Astyanax mexicanus: one gene and its partners. The protein of the gene in region 4 purifies or fractionates together with the protein of the main gene of each other region. This does not show direct contact. Links are inferred from orthologs where the notes say so. Each region holds a gene or a part of one and is shown on either strand. Other genes may lie near its edges.

Region 1 (7,685 bases), on a different chromosome or scaffold from region 4:
AACACACCTCAAACATGTCTCCGTTTACTGCTGCAGCAGGTGCTTCTCCAAACGCATCTGATTTAAGAAAAGAAGAGAGACAGACTGTAAAATCCTGTGAGTTCTGGTCTTGTTGAGCAACGCTTTTCGTATTTCCTCTCAGAAGAACTACTAGTAGAAGAGGAATGCTGTAAAACCTGCCCGGCTATATGACTGTTACTGAGTCCTATATGTAAACCAGAGATGAATGATCAGCTTGCTCATTCGGTGAGGTGGCAACAGACGTTATTTTAACAGAAGTTTAAAAGCTCAGGTGTACTACAGTAAGTAGTGTTAATATACCTTATATAAAAAGTGCTGAAAACACTGAAACCTAGTGGAATACACCAGCGGATATTCTACCAGGGACGTTGACAGTCCAGATGTATTACCCTAAATGATCATTACATTAGAACCTACCAGAATCTTACAGTAATTATGTTACCAAAAGTTTAACAGTAAAGATGTAATATACTAGTTAACTAACCAGGTAGAGAAACGCTCACAGCATTGGAATCTACCAGAACCTACCACTACCACCACTAAAGATACACTTAGTATATTCCACCTTAATTGGAGTTTAATGGAAACTGTCATTTCCATTGTCTTCACTAAACCTAAAAATGTTTTCTCTACAGCTCTGGAAAAAAAATTGAGACGAGTTTCTTTGATTTTTAGCAAATTGAAAACCTCTGGAATATAATCAAAAGGAAACCAAATTGAACTGCTTGAATTTTTGCAACAAGAGTGGCATAAAGTTATTCAAAAGCAGTGTGTAAAACTGTGATTAAGACCAGGATTATTGATTTCTGATTTTCTTTAAACTTTATGATTATAAATATGAAAGGCCTGAAAGCTTTGCTTATTTTTTGTTATTTCAGCCATTTCTCATTTTCTGTAAATAAATGCTCTGAATGACAATAAGTTAATTTGTAATTTGGGAGAAATGTTGTCTGTAGTTTATAGAATAAAACAATGTCCATTTTATTCAAACATAAACCTACACATAGCAAAATAAGACAAACTGATTCAGTAACTGAGGTGCTCTCTAAATTTTTTTCAGAGATGTATATATCCCATTAGTTTATACACACTTGTGTGCAATATTTTCAAGATTAATCAAGATTAACGAATCCTTTTTATTAAAATCACAGCTCAGAACAAAATAAAGTGTTCATAAATTTACAATAAATAGAAAAATAAATAGAGAAGCAGTATTAAAAGGAGAGAACGTCACAATTTTTATAAATTACATTTGTATCCAAGGTATCAAACTAATAATTTACTGCTAACTCACTCTGCAACAGCTTCATCCACCAGGCAGTCAGACTTCTCAACGCACAGAGACAGAACTGAACCCCCACCCCACCCACCACTCACCCAACACACTCGCACAAAACTAAACTGTACACCCCCCCCCCCCCCCCCTTTACACTCACAAAGAACTGAACTTCACCCACACACACACCCAGTCAGCACACAGAGGCTGACATGACTTTATTTGCTGCACTCTTAAAAACTATAAACTCTACCTCAGTAACTGCTGTGATTATATATGTTCTATATGTTACAGTATGTCACACATCTCTGCACCTTATCCTCACTATACACTTTATTATACCGTATCGGTACTGCACTGTCCTGACTTTAAATTGTCTCGTCTTTTGTATTTATTGTATTTATTGTTATTTAGTGTTATAATTTTATAATTTTATGTTGCACTGTCGTCACTCCTACACTTTATGTTGTCTATTGCTTGTGGTTCTATGTTGCACCATGGTTCCGGAGGAACGTAATTTCATCACACTGTGTACCTGTACTCAGATGTAATGACAATAAAAGCCTCTTGACTTGACTCTTGATTTGAACAGCTGGATGCTGTTTAGCGTTAGCATTAGCTTGCTAGCTTGTTTAGAAATTGGTTAATTGTTTTGTATTTTTTAAGCGCTTTTAAGGAGCCAATGTGTGTCTTGTTGGTGTTAAAACGTTAAAATCCTGTTTTCGCTTTATTATACCTTGTTAAATTAACTGTATCGCCTTGTCCAGACTCTTTTTATCTGTGTAGACTCTAATGTTAACAAGCTAAGCTAAGCTAACAGGCTAACACGCTATCACCCAGACAGACGACGTGCCTCCGCTCGGCCCCAGGCCGTCCGCCTCGCTCTCGATGCCGGCGATCTCGCTCTGCTGCTGCGCCAGGAAGGCCGCGGCCGGGTCCTCCTCAGCCTCGGCGCCGTTGGAGAAGCTGGAGAAGCCGAAGTCGTCGGCCATCTTCACCGCGGCGAAAACACCTGCTTTATTCCTCAGACCTCGGCCGGGCTCTCTTAGGCTCCAGCTGTGGCTTTGTTCAGGTTTAAACGCAGGAAAAACAAGTTAAATAAATATGTTGAAAAAAGAGTTGGTTTATCTCCTGAATCGAGCCGGACTCTTAAACCAGGTCAGCTGGAGGTTAATTCGTCCCTTTCGTCCCAGAAAAGCAGTAAAAACAGGGACGTGGAGGAGAGCCGAGGTCAGAACTCAGAGAGGAGAGTATAACTCTAACGCTGGGGCTGATTGTATGGTGTTGTGTCTCCATCTGCTGGAACAGACTGAACACACATACAGTACTTAACTAGTGGTAAACACACTCACCACAACCTTTATTGTTATTATTAGGAGTTTATCACTATGCTTTAAAGAGGCACTAAACCCTAAACCACGGTTTTTATTTATTTATTAAAAATTAAAATGTGTTACTCTGAAGTAATTAAACATGTCATTCCTGATTAAACATTTCCTAAATGTTCTTTATTGCAGTCATTTCGACATCTACAGCACCTTCTTATATTTAACTTTGCTAAAGGCAAGTATGATAATATCGCCCCCCTGGTGACGTCCAGAGGCACACTGCTCACTGCTCAGCCCAATTACCTCTTCCTTCTGCCCCGCCCCTAAACCCATACATCACTGCAGTGCCCCTCCCAAACTACCCCTACCATTTTTTTTTAGCATTTTTGAATCAGCCAAAATCAGCGGGTTCATGCTGCCTTCAAGTCCTCCTCGTAAATTCCTACTTTCGAGGTTGGAGTTCGTAATTACGACATGCGTTCAAGTGTTTTTTTTTTTTTTTTTTTGTCAGGTGAAAATGGACGGCATTAGGAAAATACTTTTGTTTATACTTTTGTTCTGTTTGGTCTGTAGAGTGTGTGTAGGGAACAGATAAACCTCAGCATAAAGTGTATAGTGTATGGGGAACACAAAAAAAGGAAAAAAAAAATCTGGGAATTTTTTTAACCTTTTTTACATGTGCTTGCATTGTAGGTGCATTCACTTTTAAAACTACTTTTTACTTAATTAATTCTGTAATTGAGGCCAATTTAAATAAAAATACAGAAGCAATTTACAAAATGGGGGGTTTTGTTTTATTTTATTCATTCATTTTTAGAAATTCATTTTAAATACTTTTGATAAAATTATTTACCTTCTCTGTTATGTGTTTATTGTGCCAATTAATTAGTATTGTGAAAAAGGTTTATATATTAAAAGACAGGTTTTCGTGGGGTTTCCTGATTCACTACGTGACTGTATGTGTGTAATACGTGTATAAGTGTGGCTTAGAAGTTCACAGTATAAAGGTGCACGACACACCTTGTTTTTTTACCCACCCGTTTACGCAAAGCCACGCCTCTGCAAACTTTTTAGCCAATAAGAGTGCGAGGCTATCAGCCCTCACACTCTTTCAGCACACTGGGGAGGATTGAGTTCTTATTTTAAATCCTAAATGGACTAATTTAAGGAAAAAAATCAGCTTTGGTTTTACACATAAAATATTGTCAATTAAGAATGTTTAATTCTATAAAGAGCCATATTTACAAAAGAAATATGAGTGTGGTGTGACAGTTAATATATAACTGTTGTACTGCCGTGTATATATTGCACATAGTTGCACAGTGAAAAAAGTGAAGCAAATAAGTAAAATAAGTATAAGTTAAAGGTTTCATATTTAAAGGTTTAAATAAGTGAATGTTAAGATTAATAACTAATATAAACTTTTTTATACAACAAAAATGATTATTTATGGAACAAAAAATGATTCTACTTGTGGCACTGATAAAAGTCCCTATTTTAAGATATTTGTCATTATGTAAGAAAATCATCTTCAAATGACTTAGTATATATAAAAATAATAGCCTAATATCTAAACATAATTTAATATTCCAAAAAAATGAGATAGCATCTAAACTAGTGAGATAGCTTCTAAAAATAATGAATTACTTTCTCAAAATAATGCCATAGCATCTAAAAAAAAGAGAATTTATCTCAAAACAATACATTAGTATCTCGAAATAATGAGATATCTAAAGATAGTAAAATAATGAGATACTAGCTAATCAAAACATTTTTTTTGTATCTCGAAATAAGGAAATATCATCTAAAAAATAATGTATTAGTATCTTAAATTAATGATAAATATTATCTAAACAGATAGCATTGTAGTGAACGCTGAGTACAAACTTTTAACCAATCAGAGAGCTAGGCTATCAACCGTCAAGGCCAGTCAGAGGCCCGCAGGGGCGGGACATGTCGGAAAACCGGTGGGGAAAAAAATAACGGCAAGCGGAGAGCGCCGCGTCACGCGCACACGTGGTGGATGACGTATCGGTGAGTCCTGCTAAAAGTGGTGGTAGAGGGAGAGCGCGCGCTGCTGAGCGGAGTTACCCGAACCTCCACCCCGCTGAACTACAGCCTGAACCCGGCTACACTACAGCTCCAGCCCCGCTACCCTACAGCCTCCACCCGCCGCCCGCCCGGAGCCTGATCACCATGTCCGGAGACACCAAGGAGGTAATTCATCACCAGCGCTGCAGATTCTTACTGAACCAGAAAACCATAACACTCAGAGCGGAGTTTAAAACAGCTTTAACAACACTAACACTGCGGACAATCACTAACCTACAGATTTATTTATCAACAACTGCCAGAAACATAGTTTTATACTCAAAACACATCCGATCCGAGTCAACACAAAGACTTCAGTAACTGTTATCACGTCTGAGTGAAGACCAAGACTTTCTATAGCCGAGTTTGAGTCAAGAACAAAACTGGGACACAAAAAGCCTGATTCAAGACTGAGGCTTTGAGTAGTTTAATTTTAGTCACAAACAAAGCTTTTGCTAGTTTCAATTTAGTCAAAACTGAGCCTTTTAGTAGTTTAATTTTAGTCAAGAACGCGACATATCAGATGTGGGTCACAACCAAGATTTTTACTAGTTTATTCTTCAGTCAAGACCAGGATTTTTTTTGTAGTTTAATTCAAGACCGAGACTTTGAGTAGTTGAATTTGAGTCAAGACTGAGTCTTTGAGTAATTAGTCTCTGAATCTAGACCTAGACTCATGGTTGTAGAGTCTGAGCCTAGACCGACACTCATGGTATAGAGTGTGAGTCTAGACCAAGACTCAAGGTTGTATAGTCTGGGTCTAGACCAAGACTCAAGGTTGTATAGTCTGGGTCTAGACCAAGACTCAAGGTTGTATAGTCTGGGTCTAGACCAAGACTCATGGTTGTAGAGTCTGAGTCAAGACCAAGATTTTGAGTTGTCGATTCAAATTCAAGACTGAGACCAGTACACATCAGATCTGAGTCAGGACCAAGACTTTCTATAGTTTTAGAGTTTGAAACAAAACTGGGAAACTAAAAGCCCGATTCAAGACTCTTTTAGGAGTTTAATTTTAGTCAAGAACAATACTTTTAGTAATTTAAATCAAGTCAAGACTAAGGGTTTTAGGAGTTTAATTTTAGTCAAGCACAATACTTTTAGTAATTTAAATCAAGTCAAGACCAAGACTTTGAATAGTTAAGTTTGAACCAAGACTGAGGCTTTGAGTATTCAGTCTGAGTCAATACTGAGACGGGGACGCATCAGATGCGAATCTAGACCAAGATTTTTACTAGTTGATTCTAGGATTTAAAGTTGTTTAATTTGATTCAAGACCAAGACTTTTAGTAGTATTACTACAGCACTACAATTTAGCTTTAAACTTTCCTACTGTATTTCTATCTGCTTTATGCTCTTCTTTCAGGCTTCTCTACCCACAAAACTTAAAAAAAATAAAAAATAATAACAGCTTTCAAGCTATTCATTAACAGTTTCATTCATTCATACAGCTGCTCATGCAGCAGTTTACACTGTGGCTGCTGCAGTGCTGTTGAACCTCTCGGGAAGTGGTCATTACCCTTAATTACGCTTCATTGTCATTATTCTTGGCAGCCAACATGTCATTACACGACCCCCATTAGTTTTTAGGAAGGTTTGAGTTTCTCTCAGCCTGAGACAAGCTTTTTCATCTGGTCTAAATCCCAAATAGACACTAATTGGATGTATTGGGCAGTGACTTAATGCACTTAAACACATTCAGGGGGTTTGAGTTGTGTTAGATTGAGTCTAAAACTTAACTTAAATAGGCACATACTTAGTTTTTAGAAGACTGACCTTATGTACTTTTTACCCATTAGAGAGGTTTCAGTTTTGTCAGCCTGTGAAAAGGCCTTTATCCCAAAAATACACATATTTAGCATAAAAAGCATGCTAAATTGATAAAAATGCATTTTACTTTTGGTATGCACCCAACTTGACAGAATGAGTAGTCTATAAATCCCAATTTTAACACATTAAGGAGGTTTGATTGTGTAAGAATGAGGGGATAACTCTATTTTAACTATTTTAAACTCATCAGGGAGGTTTTAGTTTCTCTCGGCCTGAGAAAACCCCCATTTTAAATTTAGTCTGAATCCCAAATAGACGTAATTAGATGTGTAGGGCAGTAATGCAATTAAACACATTTAAACGCAATAAAATAGCCTCTAAATAGTTTTTAAAATAGAAAGAATAAGTTGTCCATTTGTCTAAATTCCAACACATTAAAGATGTTTGAGTGAGTTTTATCAGGCTGAGAGAAACCTTTTAATTTGGGTCTAAATTCCAAATCATTTGACACAAATGGGATGTAAATTGGTTATTAATTTGGTATTAGTGGTTGATGTGGTGCAGCACACCAATATAAGTCTAAAGACAAAATTTCTCCCAAAATTCCAAATAAAAATATTCTCATTTAGAGCATTTATTTGCAGAAAATGAGAAATGGCTAAAATAACAAAAAAGATGCAGAGCTTTCAGACCTCAAATAATGCAAAGAAAACAAGTTCATATTAATTTAGGAAGAGTTCAGAAATCAATATTTGATGGAATAACCCTGTTTTTTAGTCACAGTTTTCATGCTTTATCTTGGCATCATGTTCTCCTCCACCAGTCTTACACACTGCACCACTTACACCACTCTCCACACAGTTCAGTTTGGTGGTTTGATGGTTTGTGATCATCCATCTTCCTCTTGATTATATTCCAGAGGTTTTCAATTTGATAAAATCAAAGATTTCAAAGATCACGATAAACTAATAGTGCTCTAGTGTAACACACGTGCTACACATGTGGTTCTTCTGTTTTGTCACTAACACTAACTCTTGTAGATTCTTGATTTCATGTTTAAGTGTTGGAGTGTTGGAAGGCTTCAGTCCTGCTTATTATGTATTGCTACCAGAAAGAAGGAGAGAGTACTGAGAAGAGGTTTGACTAGGAAACTGCAACCTATACTTGCCATGCCCATGTGAACCCTGCCATTCTCCAATTTC
Region 2 (7,797 bases), on a different chromosome or scaffold from region 4:
CCTGGTAGCACAAAAAAAATATTATTTAAAGCTGATATTCCAGTATGATTTTGGATTTTTTTTCAGACCAAATACACATCAGATGAAGAGTTCTGGTATTCTCAAAATCAATGCTTTATATTCATTATTTCTGTGCAAAATGGCTTTCATGTCATGTTGCCAATTCATTTTAAAGGATAAAATCAGCTCGGGCCAGGCTAATTCCAGGTTTTCCTTAAAGAAGAAGACTAGTACTCTTCAGATCATGTGTATTTGGTCTGGCCCAAGATTAAAAAGTCCTTGAAAATCACACTAGAACATCAGCTTTAAATTAAACTTTTTTCTGCCTTATGGATCGGTATGCCATGTTGCCAGTTCATTTTAAAGTATAAAATCAGCTTGGGCCAGGCTAATTCCAGGTTTTCCTTAAAGTAGAAGACTAGTTCTCTTCAGATCATGTGTATTTGTTCTGGCCCAAGATTAAAAAGTCCTTCAAAATCACACTAGAACATCAGCTTTACATAAAAACAATTGTGCATTATGGATCGGTATTCCATGTTGCCAGTTCATTTTAAAGTATAAAATCAGCTTGGGCCAAGCTATTTCCAGGTTTTCCTTAAAGTAGAAGACTAGTTCTCTTCAGATCATGTGTATTTGGTCTGGCCCAAGATTAAAAAGTCCTTCAAAATCACACTAGAACATCAGCTTTAAATTAAACTTTTTTCTGCCTTATGGATCGGTATGCCATGTTGCCAGTTAATTTTAAAGTATAAAATCAGCTTGGGCCAGGCTAATTCCAGGCTTTCCCTAAAGTAGAAGACTAGTACTCTTCAGATCATGTGTATTTGGTCTGGCCCAAGATGAAAAAGCCCTTCAAAATCACACTGGAACATCAGCTTTACATAAAGAAAAATTGTGCATTATGCATCGGTATTCCATATTGCCAATTCATTTTAAAGTATAAAATCAGCTTGGGCCAGGCTATTTCCAGGTTTTCCTTAAAGTAGAAGACTAGTTCTCTTCAGATCATGTGTATTTGTTCTGGCCCAAGATTTAAAAAATCTTCAAAATTGTACTGGAACAGTGGCTTTTTTGTGCAAAATGGCTCGTTATACCATGTTGCCAATTCATTTTAAAGTATAAAATCAGCTTGGGCCAGGCTAATTCCAGGTTTTCATTAAAGTAGAAGACTAGTACTCTTCAGATCATGTGTATTTGGTCTGGCCCAAGATGAAAAAGTCCTTCAAAATCACACTGGAACATCAGCTTTACATAAAAACAATTGTGCATTATGGATCGGTATTCCATGTTGCCAGTTCATTTTAAAGTATAAAATCAGCTTGGGCCAGGCTATTTCCAGGTTTTCCTTAAAGTAGAAGACTAGTACTCTTCAGATCATGAGTATTTGTTCTGGCCCAAGATTAAAAAGTCCTTCAAAATCACACTAGAACATCAGCTTTATATTCAATTTTTTTGTGCATTATGGATCGGTAGGCCATGTTGCCAGTTAATTTTAAAGTATAAAATCAGCTCGGGCCAGGCTAATTCCAGGTTTTCCTTAAAGTAGAAGACTAGTACTCTTCAGATCATGTGTATTTGTTCTGGCCCAAGATGAAAAAGTCCTTCAAAATCACACTGGAACATCAGCTTTACATAAAAAAATTGTGCTTTATGGATCGGTATTCCATGTTGCCAGTTCATTTTAAAGTATAAAATCAGCTTGGGCCAGGCTATTTCCAGGTTTTTCTTAAAGTAGAAGTCTAGTACTCTTCAGATCATGTGTATTTGGTCTGGCCCAAGATGAAAAAGTCCTTCAAAATTACACTAGAACATCAGCTTTACATAAAAAAATTGTGCATTATGGATTGGTAGGCTATGTTGCCAGTTCATTTTAAAGTATAAAATCAGCTTGGGCCAGGCTAATTCCAGGTTTTTCTTAAAGTAGAAGACTAGTACTCTTCAGATCATGTGTATTTGTTCTGGCCCAACATGAAAAAGTTCTTCAAAATCACACTTGAACATCTGCCTCATATTTTTTGAGCGCAATGGCTTTTAAAATATAATTATATTAAATATATATTTAATTATTTATTGTAATATATAATTATAAATTCAGTAATTAAAACAAATATTTTACAATATACAAAATTATATTTAATAATATATTGTATATTTACATTGTTAATAAACAGATGTACTGCTTTTCTTCATTCTATCTCCTTCAGTGTTGATCTGTGAGGTGTTTAATATAAACAGCGGGTGTTTGTGAACGCTCCCTTTAGTTCACGGTGGTTCAGTGAAGCGGCAGCTGCGAATATCAAACCAACTTCAGCCGGGGAATACGAGGCTGCGAATATCGAGCCAAACGAATCTGGAGCTGCGAATATCAAACCAACTTCAGCCTCGTACTAAAGACTACATCAAATACAGTTCTGTAGGTTGTGTAGATTACTGGGGTTATTTGGAAATTCAGAAACGGAAATACTCAAACAATCTAAATCACAGAAACTCGTTCTTACCCCCTGTCGCGTCCACGATCTCGGTCTCTATCGCCATACGAGGAACTTCCCCTCATTTTACAGAATTTTACACAAACTCCACTTTACACTGCAACTATTTAACTAATTAACCAGCCACTAAACGACTGATATTTTTATACTGTAAATTATTCAGTAAACCAACTAGAAAAATAATAAATATCACTTTATAAGTGATAACAATGAATAAACTTAAAAATAAGCTCAACTTTTAGCTGAGAACTCGGGTTTGGGTTTGTGTTTGTTGTTGTTTTGCTAACTGTTAGCTTAGCATTCTAAATTAACTACAGTCTCAATCGTGAAGCTCCTCAGAAAATCCGGCTGCAAGTCTAAAATCGACCAATGCACGAATAATAACGACCGACCAACCGAATTATTTGATTTTCTTCAAATAAAATTGATCTAAATGTAAACTTTATTCGATAAACAATTCGTCGAATTGTCAGAGTCCGACTGCTTCGCTGAAGGCCGAAGACCCGCCCCCTATCCTCCAGTGTGGTGCCGAATTCCGCACCCCGACACAAACTGCACCCCTAGGACCCAATGAGAGGGCTGTTGTTTGCGCTTGACTCAAAATTGTGTCGATTATATATTGTCGTTGTTGTCACAGAAACATCCTAACTCTAAAAGGCGAACTACTGAACCTCTAAATTATCAAGGAAAAATATAAGATAATATTTATCATAATTAATAAATAATGTCCCCAAATTAATCAACAATTTCTTAAATTTAGAAAATTGTTTTCCCTCTAATCTGAGGGAAAGACTATTCAAATAAAGAGTATTTCTTGTGAAATTGAGGAAACGATGTATTAAAGGGAGGAAACTGATAAACATCAAGAAGGGCAACAGTAAGAGAAATTAAAATACTAATTTGAGTCATTTCTGTGTTTACAGGTGAAACAGGTGTGTTGAAGGTAGTTCAGTCAGCACGTTATCTTTAATAATTTATATGAGATAAATGAGATGAGCTTTATATAGTAAAATTAGTCAAATTCTTGAAGCGACAACTAAAAGGTGTTTTGGCCCGCCCAGACCGAAACCTAGAGGGTGCAGATTGCGACGGGTAACGTACGAAAGCAGCACACCACCAGCAGATACCAGAGATTCTATAGAGAGGAGAAAATTCACTTCAGAATCTCCTCCAGGCTTGTTTGACCACCAGGGGGCGCTCCTGAGTGAGTCCAAAACAGAGAGTCTATGGTCCAAAATGAATGTGTTCATATGGAGCAACTTTTATACTAAAATGTACTCATTTTCCCAACACAGAACAAAGCTTTTAAACTCCACTTTTTTTAGAAAATGTTTTGGCTGTAACTCCAGTATTAGCTCACCAACCAGTCAGCTCACAGTAGCAATAATGCTAGCGTCTTTACTGCCTAAAATATTATTACTGTAGAAAAACTGAAAAATAGACGTGTATTATTTGCTTTAGTAGTAAAATACATAATCCTACGTTTCAAATTTAAAGCAATATCTTGGCTAAGCGGAAATGTACTATTTGTAATCAGAGTTTTTAGCCGTTTAGCTCCATTATCTTCCACTTATTTTGGACTCTCTTGCGGGCTCCCCCTAACGGCGGGCAGCAATTCTCTGTGATTATAACGGTAGCGATAAGAAGTGGGTGCTCTCTTCATAAACCAGCTCTGCAGAGACTGCGCGTATATTTCCTGCGTAGACTGAAGAAATCTGCGCAGTTGCGGTTAATGAAAACATATTTTACACAGAATGCATTAAGCAAAATCATATTAAAAAATAATACAAGCAAAAAAGTACAAAATTATAAAACAGTAGCAATTTATTAACTATTTTTAAATTCATGTTTTATATCATTTTATTGTTGTTATCCCTTCTGCACGTATATTCTATCTATTATAACAACACAATTTTGGCCAAAAAACTAAATAAAAAAAAACACTGGTCTCTTGATGTGTGGTCATGACGTTGAAGTGAAAATACAGGAAGTGCTCCGGTGTTCTGTCGAGTTGGGTTACCTTGTCAAACCGCGCTACCCAAGTGTATATTTAACTGTAAAAATAAAGAAGCCCCATATTAGAGCATGTTCCCAGTAGGAATGTATCCCAGTAAATGTTGCGTTAGTATTTATGGATACAGCATAAATCACTGTGTCATGGTAAAGTTATGGCAACGAGAGCTTATTACAAACTGCTTTTGTATTTTTTATAATAATTATTGTATTCATTATTGTTATTAATTTACATTTACACTTTTTTGCAATGACAGTGAGTTCAATTTGTTTAATGCACAAAAAAAAACACGATAAATAATCAAAAAGTGTAGGTTAGCGCATGTGCAGTGCCTTTAGGAAGCACGTATCGATGGGTATCATAACTGGACAGAACACCGGTTCTCTCAGGCTGTCTGGATGTACTGTATTACAGATTCTAGTTAAATAGTGAGGAGAGTGTGTTCTCTGTAATGCTGAACTTTATTTAGAGCTTCATGTTGAGTTAACGACTGGATTAAAATATTAAAATGCCCCTCCTGGTTCAGAACAGACGGGTCGAGCGCGTGACTTCAACTACAGACCTGTTCCTCAGATATTCTCATCTAAAGGTGAGTAACGTTTCTCCGCTTTACAGCAGTTCAGCTCGAGTAACAGATCTCAGATCCCAGTGTTTAAAACCTGCTTCTGCTTCTTAAAGGAAAACGCCAAAGAGTTCCGGTCCAGACCCGCTCTGACTGTCGAGCCCAAGCGCCTCCTTTACGTTCAGCAGAGAGAATTCGCAGCCACGACACCGGCGGACAGTGAGTCTCTGTGTATCTACAGGTTAACTGTGTTCATCTGACTGTAGTTATTTATCTCCTGTCCTGAAGCCTGTCTCTACAGTTTAACTGTGTTTATCTGACTGTAGTTAAACTTACTTATCTCCTGTTCTGAAGTCTGTCTCTACAGTTTGACTGTGTTTATCTTACTGTAGTTATCTATCTCCTGTTCTGAAGAGAGGTATGTCTCCTCTACAGGTTCTGTCTCGGTCATTGGCTCTGGAGATGCAACTACATGTCACCTTGTGGTTTTGCGGCACACAGGTAGAGACCCAGTTTTAAAGAGAAACTAGCACTAAGTGGCCAAGTTGAATGTAGATCAGGTTTCCTTTACTAAATTGAGCCTTAATCCAACAGAGAAGTAAAACAAATAATGAAGTACAAATTATACTACTTCAACTCAAAAAATGTTCAGAATAAATGAATTTACATTATTGCAGTTATTCAGTTCAAAATGTGAAACTCATATATAGATGTATTACACACAGAGTGATCTATTTTAGACGTTAATTTATTTTATTGTTGATGATTATGGCTTACAGCCAATGAAAACCCAAAAAACAGTGTCTCAGAAAATTAGAATATTATATAAGACAAATTGGTACTTTTGGTAGTGTGCCAAGTCCTGCTGGAAAATTAAATCTGCATCTCCATAAAAGTTGTCAGCAGAGGGAAGCATGAAGTGCCGTAAGATTTTCCGGGAAAACTCTGCACTGACTTTGGACTTGATAAAACATAGTAGATCAACGTCAGCAGATGACATCATGTCTCTCCAAACCATCACTGATTGTGGAAACTTTACACTAGACCTCAAGCAGTTTGGACTGTGTGTCTCTCCAGTCTTCCTCCAGACTCTGCTCCCTTGATTTTAAAATGAAATGCAAATTTAACTGATGATCAGTGATGGTTTGGAGAGACATGTCATCTGCTGGTGTTGGTCCACTGTGTTCTTTCAAGTCCAAAGTCCAAGTGCAGAGAGAGATGCGAATTACATTTTCCAGCAGAACTTGGTACACTGGGCACACTGCCAAAAGTACCAATTTGTCTTATATAATATTTTAATTTTCTGAGACAATGAATTTTCAGTTTTCATTGGCTGTAAGCCATAATCATAATCATTAGCAATAAAAGAAATAAACACTTAAAATAGATCACTCTGTGTGTAATACAGCTATATAAAATATGAGTTTCACATTTTAAACTGAACTACTGAAATAAAATAACTTTTCTATGGTATTCTCATTTTGTAAAATGCACTACTTCGTTACTTTCCTTGAGTTTAAATGTTGGTTATCTATTTATTAATATTTTTCAGATAACATTTTACTTCTTCTCCTTAAATTTTACACAATTATCTGTACTTTCTACTCCTTATATTTTAAAAATAGCCTTGTTACTCCCATTTCATTTCAGCTTGTTTTTTTTTATTCCATTGTTTTGAACCCTATCCAGATAAATCCATTTATACATATAAAGTGTGGTAAAATTTGATTGTGGTTGGATGAGAAGTATAAACATATACCATTCTGACATCCTATTGGTTTATACACGATCCATAACACCTGCACGTCACGTCACACTCAGCAAGAACATAGCAGACGTATGTATCCTAGTATAAAGATGATTTGTGCAGAGACTCTTGAGAACTTGAGCAGCGAAATGTCCCAACTAAGCTTCTTTAATATATGTATTGTAAAAATACAATAAAAAAAAATTAACTGCATGAAAAGATCTTTTACAACCCTACATCTCCTTAAAGGCAGTGGAGCGACTTGTCTGGCTCACTGTGATGGTTCGAGCACTTTCACCGAAGTTCCTCTCCTTGTAAACGCTGTCACATCCTTAAGCAACCCTGCAAAGGAGGGCAGGTAGGCATTTATTTTTATCTAAAGATTTAGCCACACTTCATTTCCTGTCGACACATCATCAAGTGTCTCAGGCTTCCTCTCACAATTTAGAAAAAGGTAATGAATTCTGCATCAAATTCAAGGTATCATATCAATGTTTTAAAATGACGCCCAGCCCTAGTCTTAAATGAACACCTTTTTTGACCTCTTATAGGTCAAAGGATGTGTTGGGTATACAGTATGGACTGAGTGAACACCAAAAACTGCGTTTAGTAGTGATTAAAAGCTCTATTTTACACATTTTTTAAAATTGGGGCATGTTTGGTTTTCTGTGGTATAGACCCTTTATTAACATCAGTGAAACTGATCAGAACTAAATGTATTATTGCTTTATTCAGGTTAGAGCTTCATCTTGTTGGGGGGTTTGATGATGACTCCAAGACGTCCCACACACTCAGCCTTACTATACTAGGTAGGTAAAGTGCAAATCTCAGTTTGGTAAAAGCATGTAGGCTACAATCTTGTGGCTTGTTAAGTGTGAGTGTGTTTGTGTCCTTTATTTCACAGCGGCCTTTCAGAAGCAGAAGGACGAAATTCACTTAGAGACCTGCTGTATTACTGGTAGGTTAACATTCTCTGTATGTTTTG
Region 3 (7,432 bases), on a different chromosome or scaffold from region 4:
TCTCAAATTTATTTGCATGAGACAACAGGATTGAAGCAGTTAAGGTGAAAAAATAAGTATGGTGTGAGTTGTATCTTTAATGGCTTGTGTAATCTGCCTATTCTTTTTAGAAATGACCATCATATAGTGTCTGTGTTTCACTAGCTCCTGTGTTTCACTCCTGATTTCTCTGTAGGCCATTCTGATGTTAAATCTTGTGGTAAAAAGTAAATGTATGTCCTTCCTGTAATGTTTGGAAGTAGGTACACTAAGCAATATTTAAAAGGCTAAAGTTGAGCGTTTTGTATATCTGGTATCAGTGCTGAAATAATGCCACACAACTAAGTAGCTAACGTGTACAAACAGGAAAGAGATATAAAAGACATGAGACATATATATAGGTGGAAAAAAAGTTTGTTAATATTAGCATGAAAAAATATATACTAACAATAACAACAAAAAAGGAATCAACGTTTGTTAAAAAGATGCTCGTAAAAAGGTTAAATTTAATGTTTTATATTAACTTTACATTATAATAACTTTAAATGTTTAATGTTAAAAAGCTAGACATTATTATATTTAATATATATATATATATATTTAATAATATTTACATTTATTTGTAAAATCACCAGAATGACATATTTAAACATAAGTCGTTTAAAAATAATTAATTAACTTTATAAAATATAAAGAACATTTAAAAAAATAAAAAAATGTAAAGGAAACTAAAGAGAAATAGAGAGATACATACAGAGAAAAATAAAGTTGTTTCTTGCGTGGTGGTTCCCAGTCCTCTTCTGTGAGCACGATGCAAGGGCCCTTGTGCTCGTTGTCCCTGTCTGATGGAGGATCCAGCTGTCTGCAGGCAGATGTGGCAAACCTAAAGACAACCGAAAATGAACATAATCCTTGGACTATTTAAAATAAAAAAGTACAGTAAGAAATGAAAGTTTTTGAATTTATTGTATTTGAATGTTATTTTTTATATCTATGTAATGAGAAAAATGATGGTTAATTGTTCATTGTATAATATTGAAATGTTATAATCTTTAATAAGGTCTATTTAAAAAGGTCTATTTAAAAAGCAGAGTCTCCAGGTCAGTTCCACGAAGCACAGGTGTGCAGCATGGCTGCGCAGACGCCACACCCAGTACTCGACCCTGTCCTCCCACTCGATCGGGAAGAAAGAGGGGTAGAACAGGCCTGCAAATAAACAGAAAAACACAAATAACCTCATCAGTGCTGCTCAAAACCATCTCCACTCATTTACTGATCAGTCAGGTACAGCTGCATATGTACAAAGAGAACCAGATTAAAGAAGGGAAAATAAGATTAGTGAGATTAGTGTAGAAAAGTTGTTTCTTACAGTAAAAAACGACACAAGCGGTTGGTCTGGGGAAATGGGGTGGTGCTCCTCCAGCCAGTCCAGGTAGTCCAGCAGCTCCAGCCCTGAAAAAAAACCTGGAAAAGACATGGTGAGAAAAGCCCTGATAGAAATGAGGGAACAAATGTGAGAATGAGTGAGAAATGTGTAAAATCTAGTGAGAAATGTGTAAAAAAAAATGAGTAAAAATGTGTGAGAATGTAAATAAGTGAGAAATGTGTGAAATGTAGTGAGTGTAAGAATTTGTAAAATGAGTGAAATGTGAGAATGAGTGAAAATGAGTGAAAATGAGTAAAATTTGTGAAATAAGTTGAGGATAAATCGCAGATCAAAGTCGCTTGTGTTCAGCCTTGAACTTCTCAGTCCAATCTGAGCTTCAATCATTAATATCTAAACATTTTAAACCAAACGCTTGCTTAGTAACACAATGCGGCTCAGAAATTAAATAAACAGACTTGCCAGATTGTAAAGAGACCTATGAAATCCGTTTCATTTATTTATTTATGTATTAATTAATCAATTAATTAATTTAGTAAGTTAGTTAGTTAGTTAGTTAATTTTATATTATGTATATGGTCTGTAGTGAGATGAGATTGAGATGAGATTGAGATGAGTCCAGCTACAGGCAGGAGGTGGAACACCTGGAGGATTGGTGCAGAGAAAACAACCTCTGCATCAATGTAAAAAAGACAAAGGAGATGATTGTGGACTTCAGAAGGGGCAAGCATGCCCACCTCCCCCTGCACATTGGAGGATCTGCGGTGGAAGTGGTTGACAGCTACAGGTACTTGGGTGTGCACCTGACCAGCAACCTCACCTGGAGCAACAACACTTCCACTCTGGTCAGGAAGGCACATCAGCGGCTCTACTTCCTCAGGAGGCTGAGACGAGCTGGACTCGGGAGCGTAGTCCTCACCTCCTTCTACAGATGTGTGGTGGAGAGCGTCGTGTGCTCCAGCATCAATGTGTGGCATGGAAGCTGCTCTGCTGCAGACAGGAAAGCACTGCAGAGGGTGGTGAAGGCTGCACAGAGGATTGTTGGAGTTAGCTTCCCCAGCACCACAGACATTTACACCTCCAGGTGCAGGAAAAGGGCCACCTGCATCAGGAAGGATCCCACCCACCCAGCACATGCACTTTTTGTCCCACTCCCCTCAGGCCGGAGGCTGCGGAGCATTAAGTGCAAAACAACAAGACTCAGAAACAGCTTCATTCCGGAAGCTGTAAAATCCGTGTATCATTCGTTCATTTGATATTCAATTGAGAATCAAAATCGGAAAATTAAAAAACCAATTCGTTTTTTCGTTTTTTCGTTTTTGAATATAATACCAAAAAACGAATAACGGCTTGTATTTTGTATTTTTATTTGGTTATCCAAACAAAAATTGGAAATTTAAAAAACGGACCAGGAGCCGAATTTGATTTTGATTTTGAACTTGACCCATTTGTGTGCCCCGGAAGTTACTGATTTGTTTATTCTTGGTGGGTTTCTGTTGCGCGGGAGTTCACTGCAGTGTTATCTACACAGTCTGTATTGCTGTAGGCTTTGGATGGAGTTGAGGATGGAGAGTTTTATCTTGTTCAGAGGAACTAAACGCGTTGCAGTGAAAGAAGACGATATGACAACAGAAAAAATCGGCAGGATCTTTCAGGTGTTTGTCTAACGTTCCGTAGCTAAATGTCATATTTAGTTAATACCTTCAAAAAGATCTTTAATTAGGCCAGAATGTGGTTCCAGTCCGGCCATGCTGCCTACAGCAATACAGACTGTGTAGATAACACTGCAGTGAACTCCCGCGCAACAGAAACCCACCAAGAATAAACAAATCGGTAACTTCCGGGGCACACAAATGGGTCAAGTTCAAAATCAAAATCAAATTCGGCTCCTGGTCCGTTTTTTAAATTTCCAATTTTTGTTTGGATAACCAAATAAAAATACAAAATACAAGCCGTTATTCGTTTTTTGGTATTATATTCAAAAACGAAAAAACGAAAAAACGAATTGGTTTTTTAATTTTCCGATTTTGATTCTCAATTGAATATCAAATGAACGAATGATACACGGATTCTGTAAGACTCTTAAACTCCACTTAACAACACACTGCACTGACACCAAGGACAAATTACTGTTTACTGTTTACCAACATGGTCACTTTACTTGCACTGAGACACTTTATCTCCACTGCTCTAATTCACATTATCATGCTGCTATAGCACACTTGCACTCTGGACTTCATGTTGCTGAACCTTTCTACTCTCTATTTATTTTTTTTATTCTTGGGATATTTATCTATCTATTTTGTATATTCTATTTCTTTTATTGTATTCTTTTTTTATCTATATATCTATTAATAACAGCTCTTTGGGTGTAAAACTGGATCGTGAGATCACAATTTCGTTCCACCTCATGTACCACATGTGTGCGAATGACAATAAAATCTCCTTGAATCCTAGTACATGCTCAGGTCGAGGAGGAAAAAAAGGCCAGGTGGCGTGCTTTTCCTATTTGACAGGTTACATTCAGGTCGCATGTCCATGGATTGGATACGTATTTGATTTAGGACCACACATGAAAGTGATTCAAATCTGATTAGAAAAAATTCTAGCAATTGCAATAGGGTTTCAGCACCTGCGGGGCTAAAAAAAAAGGTTACACTGGCTGTTACATCTCTCAGCTCACCAACCAGTTAGCACTAGTAGCAATAATGCTAGCGTCTGTACCCTCTAAAACCTGTTTAATGTAGAAAACCGAAAATACATAACCAGGTTTTCTTCACTTTTTAGCAAAATACTACAGTATATTTTGTAAAATTAAAGAAAATGTTGGGCAAATAGTTTATTACTAATTTTGAATTTGTGTTTTTAGCCGTATAGCTCCATTCATTCCCATTCGTTGAGGACTCACTCGCGGGCTCCCTCTAGTGGTTCTCAGTAGTTTTCTGTAATAACGGGGAGATTATAGAGAGTGGGCAGGCTCTCCATAAACCGGCTGTGGAGCTTCTGAGCTACCGTGACTTGAATGGGAATGGACTCGCCCATGTAGCTCCGCTCTCCCGGGGCGGTCACCATGGTGGTGGTGGGGGTGGGATACAACAGTGGAGACGGCAGACAGTTTGTCCAAACCTTTATTTTCATTTCAGCATAAAATAACAGCGCGTCTGTTGATTAATGTGTTTAAACATCGTTTATTTTAGGAAAAGAAGGAATGGACGGAGTTTTAGTACTTAATTTTGAGTGGTTTTGAAATGGAAACCCCCCAGAAATGGAAGCGCTGAGCGGGGTGAAGGAGTGTTAGGAAAATGCCTATTCTCCAGCGTCTGGAAGAGGAACGGGGAGAGTACGAGTGACCGCGGCTCCGCGGCTCTGTCAGCCCCTCTCGAGTGAACCCTGGCCGGGCTGCGACTTCAGAGGGCTCGCCTACCTGCCTGTTGTTAGCTCCGTCACAAAGAGCAGCCCCAGAGCGGTGCGCTGTAGGGTCGGGACCGGGCAGCGGAGGAGGAAAGCCCTGGGCTCGGGCCTTGGGCAGGCAGGGCGGGAGGGAGTCAGTCTGCGCGGCCGCTGAGGAGAAGGAGACGGGCGGGCACTGCTGCCGCTCCGCCGCCTCTACTGCTGAAGCTTTTACCGGAGCTGTTTTTCTCGTGAGCTTTACGAAGACAGGAGGAGGAAAGAAGAAGTTTCCGACTGGATTTTAGACTCTGAACTGTACAGAATAATCCCAAACAAAGCAAAACAATGGCCTCATACGTGGATAACAGCTTTCGGCAGGCGGTCATGATGAATCCGGCTGAAAGGACGCAACAGGTCAGAACGGTTCCTGCTGCCTTTTACATAGGCATTATATCACTGGCTCCTGCTTTATAGTGACTCAATTTCCACTATTTCCACTGTTTACACTGTTTAACAGCTAGCTGTCTGTCTGTCTGAGGCTTAAGTGTTATGTTCTCTTTAGTGTTAGACTGGTAATTGGCTGTAAAGCTGCTGGTAGCGGTTGTAACCTATTCCCGTTACCTTCTGTCACCATCACTATTAAGATTAGGCCTGTCATCATGATTTGGTTAAATCTGGACAATATTTAATTCCAGAAATAATTATATTATTCTCATTTTAAACCATTACAATCTATAATTCTATAAATTATTGCAATAAAGGATATTTTTCTAATTAAACAATAAACAATATTCTTCTCATTTTAGGCTATTCCAATATATTGTTCCAGATATACCTGCAATAAACAACATTACGGTCATTTCAATACCATTGTGTGCTACTGACACTATTTAATTTATGCACTGTTAAAAAAAGAAGTGGCAGATCAATTGAAAATCTTGAAAACAAGGATTTTTTTTAGTGCATCTCTATTTATACCACTGATAAAATGATAACAAAACAGCTTGTTGTTGTAGCTATTTTTTTCGGACAATGTATTATCATTATATTGTCATTGTCATTGTGGTCATTTTAAGGCCACTTAGTGCAATTACACCTATTTAAAAATCAATGAATATTTGTAATTGGTAAAGAATATTTAGACATTGGCAATGGAATTTCATTTTTTAAGTATCCTCAATAAATTAAACACTGTTATAATAAAGCAGCAATTTTTAAACAAAGTCTTATTCACAGTAAGATCTTGGCTCTCCCTTGCCAAAAAAAAGATCATTGGCAATATTGAGATGAGCAATATTTGTTGAGATCATTCCCATTCTCATTCATTGTATGAAAACTCGATGACATCATTATTGTGACTAGACTATTTGACATAATATTTTACACCAATGATGGAAGCTGCCTTTTCGTTTTATTTTTGAAGGACAAGGCTTTTCCAATCACCCCTAGAGTGGGTTAAATGAGTCTGATACATGTCCATGTTCTTTTTAATGTGAAAGTCACATGTATGTTTTAGCATTGCTATTGGGCGAATTAAGTGTTAAGTGTTGAATATAAGTGTCATTACTATACTTCACTATATCTCCACTTGTTCTTCTTATTTTGTCCTCCCTAGCCAGCATCTCTGCATCCCTTTCATCCCCAGCACCCACAGCATCCTCCCCATCTATCCTTTGTCATGAACAGTAGCAGCAGCAGCAGCAGCAGCCTTATTACTGTTTTTTCACATAGCAACAGCTTTGAATCGATGACAGTGGTGGATTTTTTGGCACTGTAATTGTCTCTATTTGCATTGACTGTGATGGTTTGCGATTCACCGATCTGGACAACAATAGGCTTCCCCAATCAATACCAATTAAATGCTGCTGTAGCAGACATTGGTGGCGATGGGCCATAGGTTATTCTGTCTGTCAGAGATCTGATACCATCCCCTGCATTTATTGGTCTGAATTAAGTGGACTAAACAATGCCATGGTTTATTGGGCGCTGGAAATGTCCGTGCTCTTAATGCAGTGTGCTGGTTTGACGTGTTCCCCTGTGGCAGGCTGTGGGTGACAGGTGGGAAAAGCCAGAGATTTTGACAGTCGATGTGTGAAAAAGGTCAGCGGGGGAGGCCTTTGTGAGTGTGGATTGTTTAGCCTGAGACGAAGAAATATTGGGATTTCTTTCAGAAACAATAGTAGTATCTTCACCCTCTAGTTGATTTTCTGATATATATATTAGTTGCGGGAATCACAGGGCATCTCACAATGTAATATTCTCATAATCCATTCCCCACAATAACAATGGTATCACAATACCGTGATTCTGCAATACTCGATGTACCGTGTGAGTATTCTCTATTATACTTCATGGCATATTTGTTACTGAAGAAGATAAAATACTCCTAAATAGGCAAATACCAGGATTTATTGATTTATTGTTGTCAGTTTCACAGAATGTAACAAACAATATTCTTCACTACATGTTTACACTTTAAATAATTTGACTGATTGGGGAGTTAATCTTAGCGAGTATAGAATTCCTTGGTTTCAATAAAATATACACATTTGACGCCATATAGCAATAAGTTGAAATAAAATAATTTTACTGTTTTAATATATTTTATTTAAGTTTCTTTATCCTCCCTCCTTCTATAAAGTTTCTATTTTAAAGATACTAGGATTTGTGTGACAGTAC
Region 4 (7,311 bases):
GTTAACAAACCTGCTACTTACAAGATAAGAACTAAAATTAATATTAATTAAAAAAATAATAATATTAATAAAAAGTGCAGTTATCGCAAAAAACATCAATAACATTAAAATGATGAAACTGGCACTCATCAGGACCGCAGCAGAAAAGGAAGAGCAAGAGTTTCCACTGTTGCAGAGGATAAGTTCACCAGAGTTACCAGCCTCCCCTTGTGAAAAGAATTATACTTAAACTATGCTAAAATAGGTCTGTACTTAACCCTTGTGTGATGTTCATATATTTGCAAAATTAAGCAATTTTACATTAAAATGCTTTACACATGCTCGCTTCACCTAAATTGCAAGCAATATAAACAGCTTACATGGTTAATATTTGCCCTTCACCTTTCTTATGTTACATTTCTTTCAAAAAAGTGCTACTCTTTTTTTTATTAGTTTTTTAATAAAATGTAAAAGAAAATGAATTAAACTCAAGATATGAGTAGAAACTTTGTTTAGTTTCAAATTTACAAATGAAGCAATGTTTATTAGCCCTTGGCCAAACAGACTGTATGTAATGTAAATGTGTATGTTATATATAATGATATTTAATACAATTTAAGTATATTTGTGTGAAAAAGTTAATTAAAGTATACATTTAACATCACATTTGAAAAACAAAAGCAACATATCTCATTGCAAGAATTAGCTGATAAAGTTATTTTAATTACACACAACTAAAGCGAACTTTTTTTTTAAGCCTAGTTTTAAGACATAAAAGTTTAATCAGCACAGTTTTCATTTGTATGAGCAACAAAAAATATATGTTTTGCTAACAAATTTCTCTGAAGTATAGTTTTATTGCAGAAATAAAGGCTCCTATGGCACATTTAGTAAAAGTAGTATTATTATAAGAAGCAGTTTTCTAAAATAATACTAAGGTTTTTTTTTTTTTTTTGTATTAAGTACATCACCAGTACGAAATTAGCACAGCCAAATAAAGTATACTGAAATATACTTTATATATATATATATATACTTTAATTATCTGCATATAGTTCAAGTACACTATGATTATATTTAAATATACAGCTTTTTCACAAGGGTCCTAGATAAGGTCAAAGCTTATTTTAGTTACTACATGATTCTTTATGTGTTCCTTCATAGTCTGCATCACTTCACTATTCAGTTACTATGTAGGACTGAAATTTAAGTAAAATTCCAGGTCTCAGGAGGATATTAGTGTTTTACTGAGTGATTAACATCAATGAATGTTAATTTAAGGTTGAATGTTGAAATTATACGTCAGGATAATGTCTAATACTGTTTGTAACGTGCCTGAAGGATACATTTGAAACATTTTAAGTGCAGTCACCGCAAAGACCGTCCAAAAACGTTATGATGGAACTGGCACTCATCAGGACCGCCCCAGGAAAGGAAGAGTAAGAGTTCCCTCTGTTGCAGAGGATAAGTTATTATAGACTGGGGCAGGTCTGGTAGGTGTCAGGCCTCTAGTTATCCTGATCACTGTTTCAGCTCTTCAGTTTATAGAGAGTCTGAAGAGACGAAGAGAATAAAAGAACTGAAAGTATATAAAAGTAAAGTTTCTCTTGGATTCTTCACGCTCTACAGTTATACACCCTCTCTCCCGGCTCAGGGTTCAGGAAGACGGCCTGGCTCGCTCTTTACAAAACGATTTCTGAAAGCGGAGGGAAGGGGGATTAGCATCACAATCATGGGAACAGCATGGAGCACAGCGGAGGCAGAAAAACCATTTATTTCTTTATTTTTAAAGAGCGGCGGCTTTGAAGTGCAGAGCTCTGTTTATTTTGGGTGAATGAGAGCAAAGACCAGCCTGCATGCAGCACCAATTCACATAAAACTCTATAAAACTCAATAAAAATCAGAATAAAACTCTGATTTTCTGCTTTAACACAAGCTTTGTTCTGCAAATGTAAGACCATGTGACCCACCATCACTTATACATACAAATATACATACACGGTTTATGTTTTTAAAAGTTTTTTACGTTTTTTTTTTCATTCATTAAGGCTTTTCAAATAAAATAAACCTTAATAAGGCACTTTTTCACATATTGTAAATAGTTTGATTTCTACTAAAATTAAATTCCAGTCCTTCCAACAAAAATATACAAAAAATAAACAATATATCAACCATTTTATTCATTAAGTAAAATCAGTTATTTTCTTAACTGTTATAATTTATATTTCTTCATTTATGAAGACTTTTAAAATAAAACAAATTAAGGCAATTTTTTTCACATATTGTAAAGAGGTTGATTTCTATTAAAATTCAGTCTTATCAACAAAAATATCCAGAAAAATAGACAATATATCAGCTATTTCCCTTTGTTGAGTTTTTATTGTTAAAACATATATCTTTTTTAAATAAAATAAAGCACTAACTATGTTCTTTAAAATTATGTATATATATTTTTTTTTATTTAAAAATCTGTTTTTATTTATTTGTTTGTTTTTTTGCTTTAGATTTTTTGTAACATTTGAAGCACAAACTGCACCAGAAAATCAACATACTTTAATTAAAAGTAGGTTATTATATCATTAGAGTTAAAGCCACAAAATTATATTTTTCTCCCTTGATAATTTAGGGTTTTTAGAAGTATACAGGTATATGAATATTTACCCTTTTTTTATTTAAATATTTGATTTTTGGTAACATTTGAAGCACAAACTGCACCAGAAAATCACCACACTTTCATTATATCAGTGTAAAATACTATTTTTCTGTTATTCTGTTATTATTTAATGTTATTCTAGAGATTTTTTTAAGAGAGTTGAAGCAACAGGTAACAGGATAACAAAATACACTCCTGTTACATGGCTGGGTTTTGTTTAATCGCTATTTTAGTTTAAAATAAGTAAAGTAAAGTAAGTAAAATAGAATATTTAGATAATTAAACTGGATAAGTTTAATTTTAGCTGCAGTTATAAGAAATTATAAACAACAGCCTGTGGAGTCTTTAAACGCTCCAGTTTAGCCCCGCCCCCTTCTAACTCAGCGGTCACGTGAGAGTCAAAATCCATGAACTGAATCATTCGTTTGAACCGATTCACGAGTGTAAGGGAATGTTGATGTGTTTTATATATATATATATATATATATATAGAAAGACAAAAAAAGAAACTTATGACCCTTAACTCTCACAAAAATAAATAATGCATAAATTATTTAAATAATCAGCATGATTTAAAAAAAGGTGTTTTTAATAAAAGTATCCATAAAAAAACTAAAAAAAAACGGAACAATGAACATTGGAAAAAGTAAAAATCATTAAAAACAAAAAACAGATCAGGAGTCAGGAGGGACTTTTATATATATATTGTTAAGAAAAAATAAAAATAATGTATAAAATAATATTTAATAGTATTAAAAAAGTTCCCTTAGTTTAATAAAATGAGATCAACTGATTTATTAAAATTTAATTGAATCTAAAATGTTCTCCGTTGATTTAATAAATAACTTCCTCAATTCAATACATTATCTCCTTACTTTTACGGTATATAAAGCATTTATAAGTCAATTTAATAGTCCATTACCTTTATTTAACAGCTATTTGATTTTAGCCAACAATTTAATTTTAAACGTTTCATTTGTATTTGTGTGTTTAACCTTTTATATTTTATATATTCTTTTTTACACATTGTTTTTCATTTTAATCTTTAAGGTTTTTTATTTGAGATATATTTTATTTTATTGTTTTGTTATTTATAATATGCTTTAATATGCTTAAAATTGTATGAAAGTAATATTCCATGATGAAAAACGAACAATTTAATTTTTATTCTCTCTCTCTCTCTGAATCTACATCTCTGAGAAGTACATACAAAAAGCTTTTATTACTACTAAGTAGATAAAAAAGAGAATCCTATGTATAACAGAGTGTTACCAATAAACGCACATCACTGTAGTAAATCTGAGTATAAAATAATTTTACCTGATTTTTTTATCTGATTACTGAACATTATATCTCAAAAAACAGTGAAACTAATAGAACACGAATATTCCCCTAGAAGAGCAGTTACTGCAAATAAAAGTAAAAATACTTTTTCATCCCTCTATCCAATCGCTTATTTTTAATTGTATGGTGATAAAATGAAAAATTTTAATTTATTAGGCAGAAAGTTTTAAGTGGCAGCTGGAATAATATATTTTATTTGTTTTGGACGTTTGGTAGATTTGTAAATCCAAGCCGAATCGATTCTTTGAACCGGATCTTTTTGTGAAGAGTCGACTCCTGAAGTGACTCGGAGTTCCTGAAGTCCTGCCCAGAAAGTTGGGAGTAAAGTTTGGGAGAGCAGTGATTTAGTCTCACACTGAACCGAGTCCTGATGTCCGGAGCCGAGAGGAAGAGAGACTCCGGGCTTTTTACCACTTTCAGCCTGAATATTTACTATTTTAACGCTTTAATACAGTTTAATTCGCTGTTTTTATACTTTTAAAACTTTTTTAAACTGGATTTTAACGCAGTAACTGCTGGATAGAGAGATATGCGCGTGCCCGCGTCGCTCGGCGCGTCCTCGCGAGTCCGCAGCAGCAGCAGCAGCGAGTCCGAGTCTGCGGTTCTGAGTTCGGTTCTGTTTCAGTGTTTTTCTGGCTTTATCTCAGCAGAACTCGGGTAAACCCGGGCGGACCGGATCCGGAGGACCTTTATCTCGGTGTTTCCGCGCGTTTCTGGAGTTTACGGGCTGAATTTCCCCGAGTTTTTACACTTTTAGTAAACTTTTCCAGGCCTGCTCCCCCTCCCCTCCACTCCTCCACTCCCGCTGCTGGAGCTTTTTACAGCTGGTCCTAATCTTCTGGCAGTTATGGATCCGGGCCAGCACAACCCTCCCGCCGGGCACCAGATCGTGCACGTCCGCGGGGACTCGGAGACCGACCTGGAGGCGCTGTTTAACGCCGTGATGAACCCGAAGAACGCCGCCGTGCCCCCGTCCGTCCCCATGCGCATGAGGAAACTCCCAGACTCCTTCTTCAAACCTCCAGAGCCCAAATCCCACTCCAGACAGGTAAAAACACACTAAAACTAACTAGAAAACACTAAAAACTGCTTAAAAACACACTTATACACTGCTTAAACTGTTAAAATCGCACTCCAGACAGGTAAAGACACACTTAAACTAACTAGAAAACACTAAAAACTGCTTAAAAACACACTTACACACTGCTTAAACTGCTAAAATCCCACTTCAGACAGCTAAAACACACTACAACTAACTTTAAAACTGCCTAAACTGTTAAAATCCCACTCCAGACAGCTAAAAACATACTAAAACTAACCATAAAACTGCTTAAACTGTTCAAATCCCACTCCCGACAGGTAAAAACACACTAAAACTAACTATAAAACACTTAAAACCGTTTAAAAACACACGTATACACTGCTTAAACTGTTACAAAATTCCACTCAAGACAGGTAAAACACACTAAAACTAACTTTAAAACTGCTTAAACTGTTACAATCCCACTCCAGACAGGTAAAACACACTAAAACTAACTTTAAAACTGCTTAAACTGTTAAAATCCCAAGTGAAATAAAACAATTAAAACTGTTTAAAAACATACTTAAACACTTCTTAAACTGTTACAATCCTACTTCAGACAGGTTAAAACAGCCTGAAACTAACTATAAAACGCTTAAAACAGCTTAAAGCACACTTGTACACGGTTTAAAACTCTGCTAAACTGTTGGAAAATAACTATAAAACAGCCTAAAAACACTGTTTAAAATAGTTTACCACAGTTTCAACTGTTAAAATCCTACTCCAGACGGGTAAAAACTGCCTGAAACTAACTATAAAACACTTAAAACCACTTAGAAACACACTTTTACACTGCTTAAACTGCTAAAATCCCACTCCAGACTGGTAAAAACAATCTAATACTAAGTACAAAACACTTAAAAGAGATTAAAAACACTTTAAAATACTTTACCACAGTTTAGACTGTTAAGTCCACTCCAGGCAGGTAAAAACAGCATAAAACTAACTATAAACAGCTTAAAAACACTGTTTAAAATGTTTCACCACAGTTTAAACTGTTACAAACCCACTCCAGACTCCAATATAAACAGCCTAAAACTAAATATAAACTCATAAAACAGCTTAAAAACACAATTATACACTGTTTAAACTGTTAAAATCCTACTCCAGATAGATAAAAACATGCTTGAAGCATTATAAACACTTTATTTTAAGTTTGGAGTTTACAGCTACAGACAGTCTTTCTTTTTCTTATATAAGCTAAATGTGTTTTATACACACTCGGACTAAACCCATGCATATATTAATTGAGAGAGTGATATAATTTGGTTGTTTTAGTGTTTTTAAATGAGAACTGAATGAAGGAGGGAGGTGTAGAATAGCAGTATTAGATTTAGTGTTGTGTTGAGGAGTTTGGGAGTGTTTTCTGCGCATGCTCACCCCTCCTCCTCCTACTGGGCTGAGATTTATCCAGTTCAGCCTCCTCCTCCTCCTCCTCCTCCTCTTCTCAGCAGATCAGATCACTGCAGGAAACCCTGCGCCTCCATATCTCCACTCACTTCCTCTACAGATACACTAACAGAGCTCCAGTTCAGACTTACAGCAGAAAAACAGCTGATCTGATCTCGTAAGTCATATATATAAATTCAGCTCTGGAATAAAATGAAGAGATCACTTCAGTTTCTGAATCAGTTTCTCTGATTTTGCTATTTATAGGTTTATATTTGAGTAAAATGAACATTGTTGTTTTATTCTATAAACTACAGACAACATTTCTCCCAAATTCCAAATAAAAATATTCTCATTTAGAGCATTTATTTACAGAAAATGAGAAATGTCTGAAATAATAATAAAAAGATGCAGAGCTTTCAGACCTCAAATAATGCAAAGAAAACAAGTTCATATTCATAAAGTTTTAAGAGTTCAGAAATTAATATTTGGTGGAATAACCCTGGTTGGTTTTTAATCACAGTTTTTTTCATGCATCTTGGCATCATGTTCTCTCTCCTCCACCAGTCTTACACACTGCTTTTGGATAACTTTATGCTGCTTTACTCCTGGTGTAAAAATTCAAGCAGTTCAGTTTGGTGGTTTGATGGCTTGTGATCATCCATCTTCCTCTTGATTATATTCCAAAGAAACTCCTAATTTTTAAGTGTCCTCTTATTTATTTATTTATTTTGTCCCCGAGCTGTATATACTTGGGCTGTGTATTAACAAGAGCTTGGCGATACAATAAAAATCACAATATAGGGACTATGATTTAATATATTACAGCATATTGTGATACTGTAAGCGATTGCAAGTGTTTTAA

What was found. Proteins that work in one complex are often made in the same cells at the same time.
Region 1: the proteins of yap1 (region 4) and pdlim7 purify together in Homo sapiens (affinity purification with mass spectrometry; 3 studies listed by BioGRID and IntAct, with this or other methods). This does not show direct contact. The link is inferred for Astyanax mexicanus from reciprocal best matches to the Homo sapiens genes YAP1 and PDLIM7.
Region 2: the proteins of yap1 (region 4) and ddx17 purify together in Homo sapiens (affinity purification with mass spectrometry; 3 studies listed by BioGRID and IntAct, with this or other methods). This does not show direct contact. The link is inferred for Astyanax mexicanus from reciprocal best matches to the Homo sapiens genes YAP1 and DDX17.
Region 3: the proteins of yap1 (region 4) and rapgef2b purify together in Homo sapiens (affinity purification with mass spectrometry; 3 studies listed by BioGRID and IntAct, with this or other methods). This does not show direct contact. The link is inferred for Astyanax mexicanus from reciprocal best matches to the Homo sapiens genes YAP1 and RAPGEF2.

The regions. Positions count from the first base shown.
Region 1 is NC_064426.1:2,414,842-2,422,526, forward strand, and holds the start of pdlim7 (PDZ and LIM domain protein 7), read left to right. Parts: upstream 1-4,669; 5' UTR 4,670-4,821; coding exon 4,822-4,842; intron 4,843-7,685. Other genes in the region: cltb (clathrin light chain B), read right to left, coding at 8-57, 2,151-2,289. UniProt on the Homo sapiens protein: May function as a scaffold on which the coordinated assembly of proteins can occur. May play a role as an adapter that, via its PDZ domain, localizes LIM-binding proteins to actin filaments of both skeletal muscle and nonmuscle tissues.
Region 2 is NC_064412.1:31,361,786-31,369,582, forward strand, and holds the start of ddx17 (probable ATP-dependent RNA helicase DDX17), read right to left. Parts: upstream 3,017-7,797; 5' UTR 2,555-3,016; coding exon 2,499-2,554; intron 1-2,498. Other genes in the region: ntan1 (protein N-terminal asparagine amidohydrolase), read left to right, coding at 5,012-5,092, 5,182-5,284, 5,501-5,566, 7,062-7,170, 7,548-7,621, 7,717-7,770. UniProt on the Homo sapiens protein: As an RNA helicase, unwinds RNA and alters RNA structures through ATP binding and hydrolysis.
Region 3 is NC_064417.1:26,717,752-26,725,183, reverse strand, and holds the start of rapgef2b (rap guanine nucleotide exchange factor 2), read left to right. Parts: upstream 1-4,416; 5' UTR 4,417-5,098; coding exon 5,099-5,167; intron 5,168-7,432. UniProt on the Homo sapiens protein: Functions as a guanine nucleotide exchange factor (GEF), which activates Rap and Ras family of small GTPases by exchanging bound GDP for free GTP in a cAMP-dependent manner.
Region 4 is NC_064416.1:3,554,708-3,562,018, reverse strand, and holds the start of yap1 (transcriptional coactivator YAP1), read left to right. Parts: upstream 1-4,299; 5' UTR 4,300-4,823; coding exon 4,824-5,024; intron 5,025-7,311. UniProt on the Homo sapiens protein: Transcriptional regulator with dual roles as a coactivator and corepressor. Critical downstream regulatory target in the Hippo signaling pathway, crucial for organ size control and tumor suppression by restricting proliferation and promoting apoptosis.